2 linked regions of the Drosophila melanogaster genome follow. The protein of the gene in region 1 interacts with the protein of each later gene in a pairwise test. Each region holds a gene or a part of one and is shown on either strand. Other genes may lie near its edges.

What was found. The genes of interacting proteins can lie anywhere in the genome.
Region 2: the proteins of Eip63F-1 (region 1) and Syt7 interact in a two-hybrid assay, tested with the Drosophila melanogaster proteins (one large-scale study listed by BioGRID).

What each region holds. Positions count from the first base shown.
Region 1 is NT_037436.4:3,930,589-3,935,543, reverse strand, and holds the start of Eip63F-1 (Ecdysone-induced protein 63F 1), read left to right. Parts: upstream 1-1,906; 5' UTR 1,907-2,261; coding exon 2,262-2,297; intron 2,298-4,547; coding exon 4,548-4,586; intron 4,587-4,691; coding exon 4,692-4,731; intron 4,732-4,955.
Region 2 is NC_004353.4:302,763-307,654, forward strand, and holds the start of Syt7 (synaptotagmin 7), read right to left. Parts: upstream 3,057-4,892; 5' UTR 2,934-3,056; exon of another isoform or gene 2,599-2,933; intron 2,417-2,598; 5' UTR 2,415-2,416; coding exon 2,254-2,414; intron 1-2,253.

The sequences.
Region 1 (4,955 bases):
GTGTTCCGAATTGGCCAAGATTGCGGACCCAGAGGATATCAGTGAAAATCCGCTCGCTGTAAGTGCGCAGGATTTGTAGGCACGTAGATTTCGCTAACCGTTTTGGCTTTCGTTTGGCACTGCACCTGCTTTTTGCCCAGTTAGAGTTCCGCTTTTTCGTTTGCCCCTCGACCTTGGGCACTTTTCACGCTTCGTTTGGCCGCCAGTCGTGTGTTTGTCTATCGATGATATCACGGCTGGGTCATTAAGACCCGGTTAAGTGCGACATTTCTGTTTGCCTTCCGCCGATAACTAACTTAAGTTGCTAAACGCCGTTCCCAGAGTCATTAACACCCCGTTAAAGTCCAGGGCAAATCACGGGATCCGCCACTGGGCTCCCAGCAAAGTTTCATAATATTTATCTGGCACGATCATAACATGCATACGCGATGTACTACAAACATCTATATTATATCTGTACATATATGGTTTAAAAATAAACATTGTAAATATTTACATTGGAAATCTATAAAGAGCAACTCGCCGATTTCTCACCATAATTCTCTTGCTAGCCGTTCACACGGTTTTGGCCAAAGGCTTATTACCCCGTTTTCCTTTTTCCATTTTCCTTTAGAGAAATAGTAATAAATGCTTTCAATAAATAAATAACTCATAACATATCTGTGTCTGGCTGCCGCTTTCATGTTTATGAGCTGATAATGAGCTCGTAAACAGTCCAATTCCGGTTGTCTCTGCTTAGAAGCCATCCGAACTGAAGCGATCTTGATGGAAACGGCGATCCCTGGATGCTCTTGTTCCCTGTCATCGGGGGGTAAAGTCATCCACTGATAATGCCAATGATCGATAAGGAGTTCAGTAACAGCTTCGAAACAGTTGTGCAATTTTTAAATACACATAAAAAACCAAATGAAACGTGAGGCTACAGTAAAACTTCTCTAAAAGCAACTATATCTCCTTAAAATTAAACATATTTCAATATATAGAGACGATGTATCTTTAAAATTTAGCTTGCACTGTGAGTGAACTTTAGGATTAACGAATGTTTGAGCAGCTGTGCTCAGCAATTCAATTCAATTCGAGTGTTATTTTAACCTTTAAGCTTCAGCTTTTTTTGACCCCACACGGCGTATGAGCAATGTGTCACTTTTGGACAGCTCACCTGAACAATCTGAGCGATCCGCGACAGCTGCCTAATTAAAATTATCGAAGATTCCGCAGCTTCGTCGCCGTCTGCCAGCGCTTTTTGAGTGCAGCCAACGGGGCGGATTGTCGATCGGTAAAAATAGCTCATACGCAATGTGGGCACACGAACGCACTGGCACTTCTTTCTTGTCATCTCATGTGCAGCCGGGTTGAATGACTCGCGACTAAATATAACACTTGCCGTTTGCCCCGGTTTATGTAATAGCCATTCAAGTGTTGATCTAAGCCAATGCAGGCGACATCGGAATTGGATGTTTTTGAGATCGCTTCGCCCTGCTCATTAGGCGCATTGATAAACAGATAAACAGATATGGGGAAACGTGTTTGGTCAAGTGTTTTTTTTTTTCTATTCATACGCTTCTGATGGCACAGTTCTTTCTGTAGAAAAACGCATACACTCATTGAAAAATCGCCGCGCCAGAAGATCTACATTTTATGCCGGCTGTAGCCGTCCGTTGACAAAGAGCGAACGAGCATCGAAATCGATGAAAATAAATCAAAAAAAAAAAAAAAAAGAAAAAAACGCAGATGAACAAATGGCAATCCCAGAACGAGGCGAGATTTCAAAATTTTTGGTTCAAAAAAAAAAAAATAAAACTGGCAAGAGCGGGAATACCGCTCTCAACTTTTCTCTCGCCAACTTGTTTTTGGCTTTCGCTTTTTTTTGGCAGCATTTTGATCGTTGGAGCGCCGTAGAATACTCAATATTGTTTGGGATTCCGTGGCGAGACGATCGTTGAAAAAGTCGCGCGCGCTGCTAAAATAAATTCAAGCGCTATATTATTAGGCAAACAAAAAGGAACACACATCATTATAATCCCCTTAAAAGTTAAGATATAAATACGCAGGCGACGAGGGGAAATACGAAATACAAAGTAAACACATTTTATTGCTGGATAATTTTACTGTGCCCAGTGACAAGAGTGCTAACACATTTAATACACATTCAAGTGCTGGCAAATAGAGCCGAAACTGGGCCAAAGTTGATTTGAAACCAAATATTACTCATACGCCACCGGCACCGCATTCATTCCCCCACCTAAGCTATCACTTCTTGAATGAGCCCAATGAGCGGACTGCGCCAACAGCTAAAGGTGAGTACTATGCTTATTTTCTTATCGATAGGATAACCCGATCTTCATGAGCCCTAATTCCCAGATGATCTTGAGTCTTTAGCCCAAAACCTGCTTGCATTTGCATAAATATTTACCTAATCGCTTTTCAATGGTGGCAACAAATTTCATTCTCCGTCTGGCAGACACTAAAGCTGCCTTCGTTGTATACACAATTTGTTTTTATTTCGTTTATGATGAGCAAATATTAAATCCCTCTCTCGCCTACCGGCTATAAATAATTTTAATAACAATATTGGTACTACATTCGCCTGTCAGGGTCGCCAAGGTACATTTAAATTGGCAGATCGTATTTGTTAGTTGTCAAATATTTAGATTAACCCATTACGCAGAGCGCGAATAAATATTGCAACAGGTTTATTGTCTGCTAGCAATTAATGTTAAACAAAATGATATACGAAGTACGACACTTAATTGCTTAAGAGCTATATGGTAGCGGGTTTCTTGGAAACCTTTTATTTTAAGATGGAAAAAATGCATACTTATAATATTATTTTGAATTGTCGAATATTAAATTTCTGTATGCTGGCCAAAGTGTTTCTCGGAAAGTATATTTCCAATAGGAGCTCAACAAACTTGCCCAAATCGAGTGGAACCGTCGGCTATATTTTATTCAGATCTGAACAGACGATAATTAATTTGAAAGCGTATGTGCGCGACTCACATAAAGTTGCTCCACAAGAGTGCATTCATTTTTTCCTAAGTCATAAAATGCGTCGCTGTCGCAGCCCATAACTTTGTAGCCAAAACACATCATTAAAAAGTACAGACGAGCGTCCATAAAAGGCATATAGGTATATGAGTATAGATATAGATGTATATATCTGGAAAATCGACTTTTGCGGAGGGGCATCATAATGGTTTCTTAATGTGCCCGTTCTGGATTTTTGGCGTACAAAATGCGCTTCAGTGCTTTTGAAGGCATTAAAAACGTGATTGTTTATAGACGTATGTGTATCTACTTGGCCAATATAAACACTAGCGATTATTAACTTTTTTCCTACCTTTCATACTTGTATATTTTAATATGATGTGAGCCCACTATGCTCGCTTTTGTTTGAGGTCCAACGTTTGATACTTGTTTATTCGAATTCACTAATTGACGACACAAAGTTTATTTCATATATCGTAGATTTATACAAACAAGCCGCAAATTTATGATGTTGGCACAGCTTTGTGGAGCATAACAAATTTTCGGAAATTCCTGAACAAGTGTCAACGAAAAATGCCATTAAACGAGCTTTATAACGCCGATTCTGCGCAAATTTATTAATTTGTTTACATTGTATGGTTCTTGGCACGTGAGCAATGCCACCTCTGCATTTATTATCTCGCTTTAAGCCCATAAAGCAGCAGTTGGCTAAGGTAACTAACCTCGGACAAGGTTTTACATGGTTGCCATGTGGGCCATGTGAACATCATCCACACTAAACTTATGAACTTTATGTAGGATTACAAACAGAAATAAAAGCCTATTCCGTAGGAAAACAATGCGTGATTCATGCAACCTTTAGATTGTCTAAATTAACTAACCAAATGTTTATATTCAACACCAATTAATATATATTAGGTCATGCTTTAATTGAAGTGTAATCAACTTCTCCCATCTGCACACAATTTAAATGAATTTGAAATCAGCATTGTTTGTGAAAATGGAAATACTGGAATATTCGGATATATTTGCGTAAACACTTTCACCGCATTTGCTGGTTCATTTTTGCAATTAATCAAAAATAGTTGAAATGCTTGCCATTCAGTACGTAATTTAGAAATAAATTGGGAAATAAATAAATGGTAGGCACGAACACTCTGGCCAGCCCCCTGCCAAGATTCCTCAGATTTGGTCTAAATGGAGGGGTTGATGCTATCGAATTGGTCTTAAAGAGCCCACTAAATGCATATGCACTTCTTTTTCGCTAACTTGAGATGCTCGGAATTCCTCGAGTGAAAATAGATTGAAAAACAACAAGTGCAAGTGGGTGCTAAAATAAACCAAGAACAACGTAATAAACAAGAATGTCAAAAATAAAAAAACCTTTGGCTAAATGTAAAAATATCCATTTAGCCCATCCGCAAATACCTTTTTGATTTTCCCCGCAGCTGAAGAGTATGCTACACTTTCGTTTACACTTCTGCTAATATTTTCCCTTAGCTCATTGACTTTTACTTAGTATACTCAATGTTTTATTTGCTTTATGTTTTGTTTTACAGATGCTGGGTACAGCATTGCTGGGCAAACGGGCCACCAAGGTAAACACGAAATTATTTCGGATCGATCGGTTTATTTTGACTGGTCGGTATTTATTTGATTTTCACTTTCGTTTCGTTTTTTTTTTTTGCTTTTTCATTTCACAGTCTGTCAAAAAGAAACCATTTACGGAGGTGGAAATCAAAGGTAAGTAACCAAATCAAACCACAAATCAACAGACAAATTGTTTATTTACAAACAAGACGAACAGTGACCTCTGTTCTTCTGCGAAAAACTCAACAAAATATGGGTTAATATACGTGGCTATCTAGTATTTGATTATTCATAATTACAGCCAATTTGTGTGCTAAGATAAGCAGCTAGCTCTGCCATTTCTTGGCCGGGCCCACGCTGCGTATACACAATCTCGT
Region 2 (4,892 bases), on another chromosome or scaffold:
CTCTCGAATTTTTGTTTGAGAGCGAGAGAGCGAAGAGCGCTACAGCGAACAGCTCTTTTCAACGCACAAAGTGATAGCAGACAAATGTATGTGTGCACACGTATGCTCATGCATTGTAAATTTGACAAAATATGCCCTTCACCTCAGAAGTTCTTAGACGTTAAATCTATATTATTTTTGATCAATTGGCACCATGCGAAAAATTCTTGTTTTGCATTGCCTTAACGTTATTATTATTTGAAAATAGATTAGAAATAGCCAAATCTATGTACATATTATCACAAAAATAAATTTCAAAAATGACTTTATATAAGAATATTTTTCATTAGAGTATTCATCTTGCGGCGTGTGAAAAATTAATAAGCCAATGATTGTTGAGGGCTTGTGTCCGCACTTCGTGCCTCAAGATATTAACAAAGCATTAGAATTATTCTAGTGTCTTTGATATTACTTTTGCAATAAACAGTTATCATATTTAATTATTTAGTATATTTATTAAATCATTTGACTTAATATGATGTAACATTAACATTAAAAGTGTTTTAAAAAAATATTTCGCTTTTAAAAAATTGTCAGATGAGAGACAAATTAGAATTAAACATAAATATAAATGTGTAAACGGTAGCTAATTCGAGCGGCGATTTTAACAAACATATTTAAAGAGCTTTAAAATTATAATAGTCAGGGCGCGAATTTAAAAAAAAATTTTTTTTTTATCATATTGCTAGGAAATTGGCAAAAACTACCCTAATATGTACCATGTAAATTCGTTTCTTCGATCAGAATTGATTTCGGCCCGAAAATCGTCTTCTAGCACAACACGCACACTTATACGAGTTCTCGTCTCTTGTTTTTACTCACACAAGCAAGCAAATTATATTTTTAGATTTCTTACGCTCTCAGCGGGAGTGAGCGGAAAGAGAGTAATTTTGGCAGTCACCAAAAAAGTGGCTGCATAGTGCCAAACCAATGTATGGCCGTTACGCATCTTGTTATTCTAGTGTCTTTGGTATTTGATTATCACTTGTTACGGACTACCAAAGAATCAATCGTTTTCTTTTTTTGTGTATATGTATGTACTATTCCCTTTTGCACATTCTCTCAACTTGTGTGACAAAAATTACGATAGCTTGCGTTTCGATTGGTTGTGATTTTTGAGCGATTTTTGATCAGGATCACTAGCCGAGACGAACTAACCCTTTACGTCCGTCCATCTGCTCGCTCGTCCGTATGTACACTACTTTCAAGCTAACTGCATACAACTCTCGCAAAGTCTTATTTCAACATCTTCTCGACATTCTTTTTGGCGTACCGATAAAAACTGGAATGAAAAGAAAAAATAAAATAACACCCACCACCTTAGAAACTAAAAAAGATAGACAGTTGAGACTAAGCATGTAAATTCCAGAGACATAGGCACAGCTCAATATTGTTTCCTGATGTCGCCACGCCACAAAATTAAAACATTTTTCAAAATGTGAATAAAAATTTACGAGACTAGCAAAAATATGAAAATTCATTAATACATTTTTTAAAAGTGTCGGCGTGGCAGTTTTGGGATGGTTGTGGGCTTTAGAGTGGGCGTAGCATGAAGTTGGCAATTTAATAGAAATTTACAAAACTAATAAACGTATGAAAATACGACGGGCGGTAGTGTGGGCTTGGCAACATTTGTCTCTGGAAACTGCATGCATAATCTCAACATTCCAGCTTTTATAGTTCCTGGGATCGAGATCGGACAGACGGAATATATATACTTTATATGGTCGGAAACGCTTCCTTCTACCTGTTACTTACTTTTCATCGAATCTACTATACCCTTTTAATCTACAAGTAACGGGCATAATTAGCAATTTATATCGATTGGTTCCCGTTACAGAAGAATAAAATATTTTAACGTTAAAATTTTGTATTTGCCAATCAATCATCCGATAATAAGCTATAAATTATGATGTTTCATTAAACTGCATACAACTCAAAAATGTTGGTTTTTTGTAGCTAAATTATAATTATATATTATTATATATTGCAGAGCATGATATATAAATATTCTAAATATTCCGAGGGTACTCAACTAACGTATTTATAAAAAAGTCAAATGAATAGGACAATTTAGAAATACTGCATACTCAAAATCGTTGATAATATACAGTCATAGACATAAATAGATCCTCTATCGCTTGTTAAGAGTCGAATGTCTGTCCCCATGAAATATATAAAGTCATATACTAAACAGGAAATGCAAATACTTACCGAAGACTATAACTACTAGATTCCTCATCTTCATTTGGTTCAATAAACTGTAACTGTGATCTTTTATGCCTCCACCACAAGTATCCTCCAGCCAGAAAAAGAGCGATTGTAATAATTAATCCCAATATAGCCAAGCAAGCTATAAGTACTATGCTTGCCATGTCTGTAATAGTGAGAAGTATGTGTAATTTTTTTACGACAATTCGAATCTTAATTCAAGTAAATAACAAAGAAATCGATTATGTAAGATATAATATCTTCGGGCATACATATTTATTTCATGCAGATAAGAACGTAACTTTCTGTAACTAAGGTGTATAATAATATATAATAACAACACCCAACTTATTTTTATTTGTTTATTTTTTATACCACAGTACCACCACAGTATAAACTATGTCGCACTTTAAGATGTAGAGCATATAATATTGTTATTTAATGGCTTTCTTTTTAAAGGAGTACACATTGTTTTATGTTTGACTTATGTAAATCTCATAAAACTTGGTCCAAAACATTATTATTTGTTTAGTTCGCTGTCATAAAGGTTGCAGGTGCCGGAGATCCCAATTAAGAAATAAGCAAACCAAACTAATCCAACATTCAGTATAATTGTTACAGTACTCTATGTTTTTACACTGTCTTATTAGATTGCGTGTTGTTATTACAAATTTGAGTCTTTCCTTTGAATTTAAATAACGGCAAAAACTGTATTTTACTTTAAAACTACTTTATTCCTAAAACAATATGTCGTTTAAGTTAATATCGAGCTACTTATGCCAATGAAAACACGTCGAATACATTTTTTTATAAGAGCTCGTTTGCATGAAAAGCTCGACTCTGTGCGCATGTCATTGAAAATACTAGTATATGTATGCATATACATAGGTACGAGTTATAATACGGAGTACTTTGAAACATTTACCAAAATATAATTGTGGCTGAGTGCAGCCAATTTTGTTGTGCTACTCATTAGGAATTCCCAAAATCGGAACTTAGGGGGATAATAACTGACAAGAGTTCTGAATACAGCCATCCTTATTCTACCTTGACAAGTGCATCGAATTGTTTACTTCCTCTAGATCCTGTCATCAAATAGTTTTCTTGGCAGATCCCGATATGTCACGGTTAAAAAGAAAGCTAGGAGAGAGTGCACGAAGAAATGAAAATCTGATGCTAACACAAGAAATGAAATTAATTCACATGAATACACTTATTTATTATTATTAATTGATAAGTGGAAAAACAATGCATTCGTGTATTTTTTGTATTATTCTTTGCAAATGTCTAATGCACAAGATTATTATTACAATTAAAAATCTTCAACAGCAAATTTTTATTTTTTGTTTTTATGGTATATACAATTATTTAGAATTAACACATTTGTCATTTTTGAAATTGTATCTTTTAAAATTCTCGATATTTACTACATTTAAACACCCCACTGATGATACAGCAATAGTTATCTTAATTTCGAAATTTTCGTTAATCTTATATGAACTCAAATCATATATGTTCACAAGACAGAAGATAAGCATTGATGTATATCTTTTGAAAGGAATACGGTATTACCAAAGACACTAGAATAACAAGATGCGTAACGGCCATACATTGGTTTGCCCAAAGACCCTAGAATAACAAGATGCGTAACGCCATACGATTTTTTGGCACACGATTTTTTGGCCGTGGCTCTAGAGGTGGCTCCAGGCTCTCTCGAATTTTTGTTTGAGAGCGAGAGAGCGAAGAGCGCTACAGCGAACAGCTCTTTTCAACGCACAAAGTGGTAGGAGACATCTGTATGTGTGCACACGTATGCTCATGCATTGTAAATTTGACAAAATATGCCCTTCACCTCAGAAGTTTTTAGACTTTAAATCTATATTATTTTTGATCAATTGGCACCATGCGAAAAATTCTTGTTTTGCATTGCCTTAACGTTATTATTATTTGAAAATATATCAGAAATAGCCAAATCTATGTACATATTATCACAAAAATAAATTTCAAAAATGACTTTATATAAGAATATTTGTCATTAGAGTATTCATCTTGCGGCGTGTGAAAAATTAATAAGGCAATGATTGTTGAGTGCTTGTGTCCGCACTTCGTGCCTCAAGATATGAACAAAGCATTAGAATTATTCTAGTATATTACTTTGATATTACTTTTGCAATAAACAGTTATCATATTTAATTATTTAGTATATTTATTAAATCATTTGACTTAATATGATGTAACATTAACATTAAAAGTGTTTTAAAAAAATAATTTCTCTTTTAAAAAATTGTCAGATGAGAGACAAATTAGAATTAAACATAAATATAAATGTGTAAACGGTAGCTAATTCGAGCGGCGATTTTAACAAACAAATTTAAAAAGCTTTAAAATTATAATAGTCAGGGCGCGAATTTTTAAAAATTTTTTTATTTTATCATATTGCTAGGAAATTGGCAAAAACTACCCTAATATGTACCATGTAAATTCGTTTCTTCGATCAGAATTGATTTCGGCCCGAAAATCGTCTTCTAGCACAACACGCACACTTATACGCGTTCTCGTCTCTTGTTTTTACTCACACAAGCAATCAAATTATATTTTTAGATTTCTTACGCTCTCAGCGGGAGTGAGCGGAAAGAGAGTAA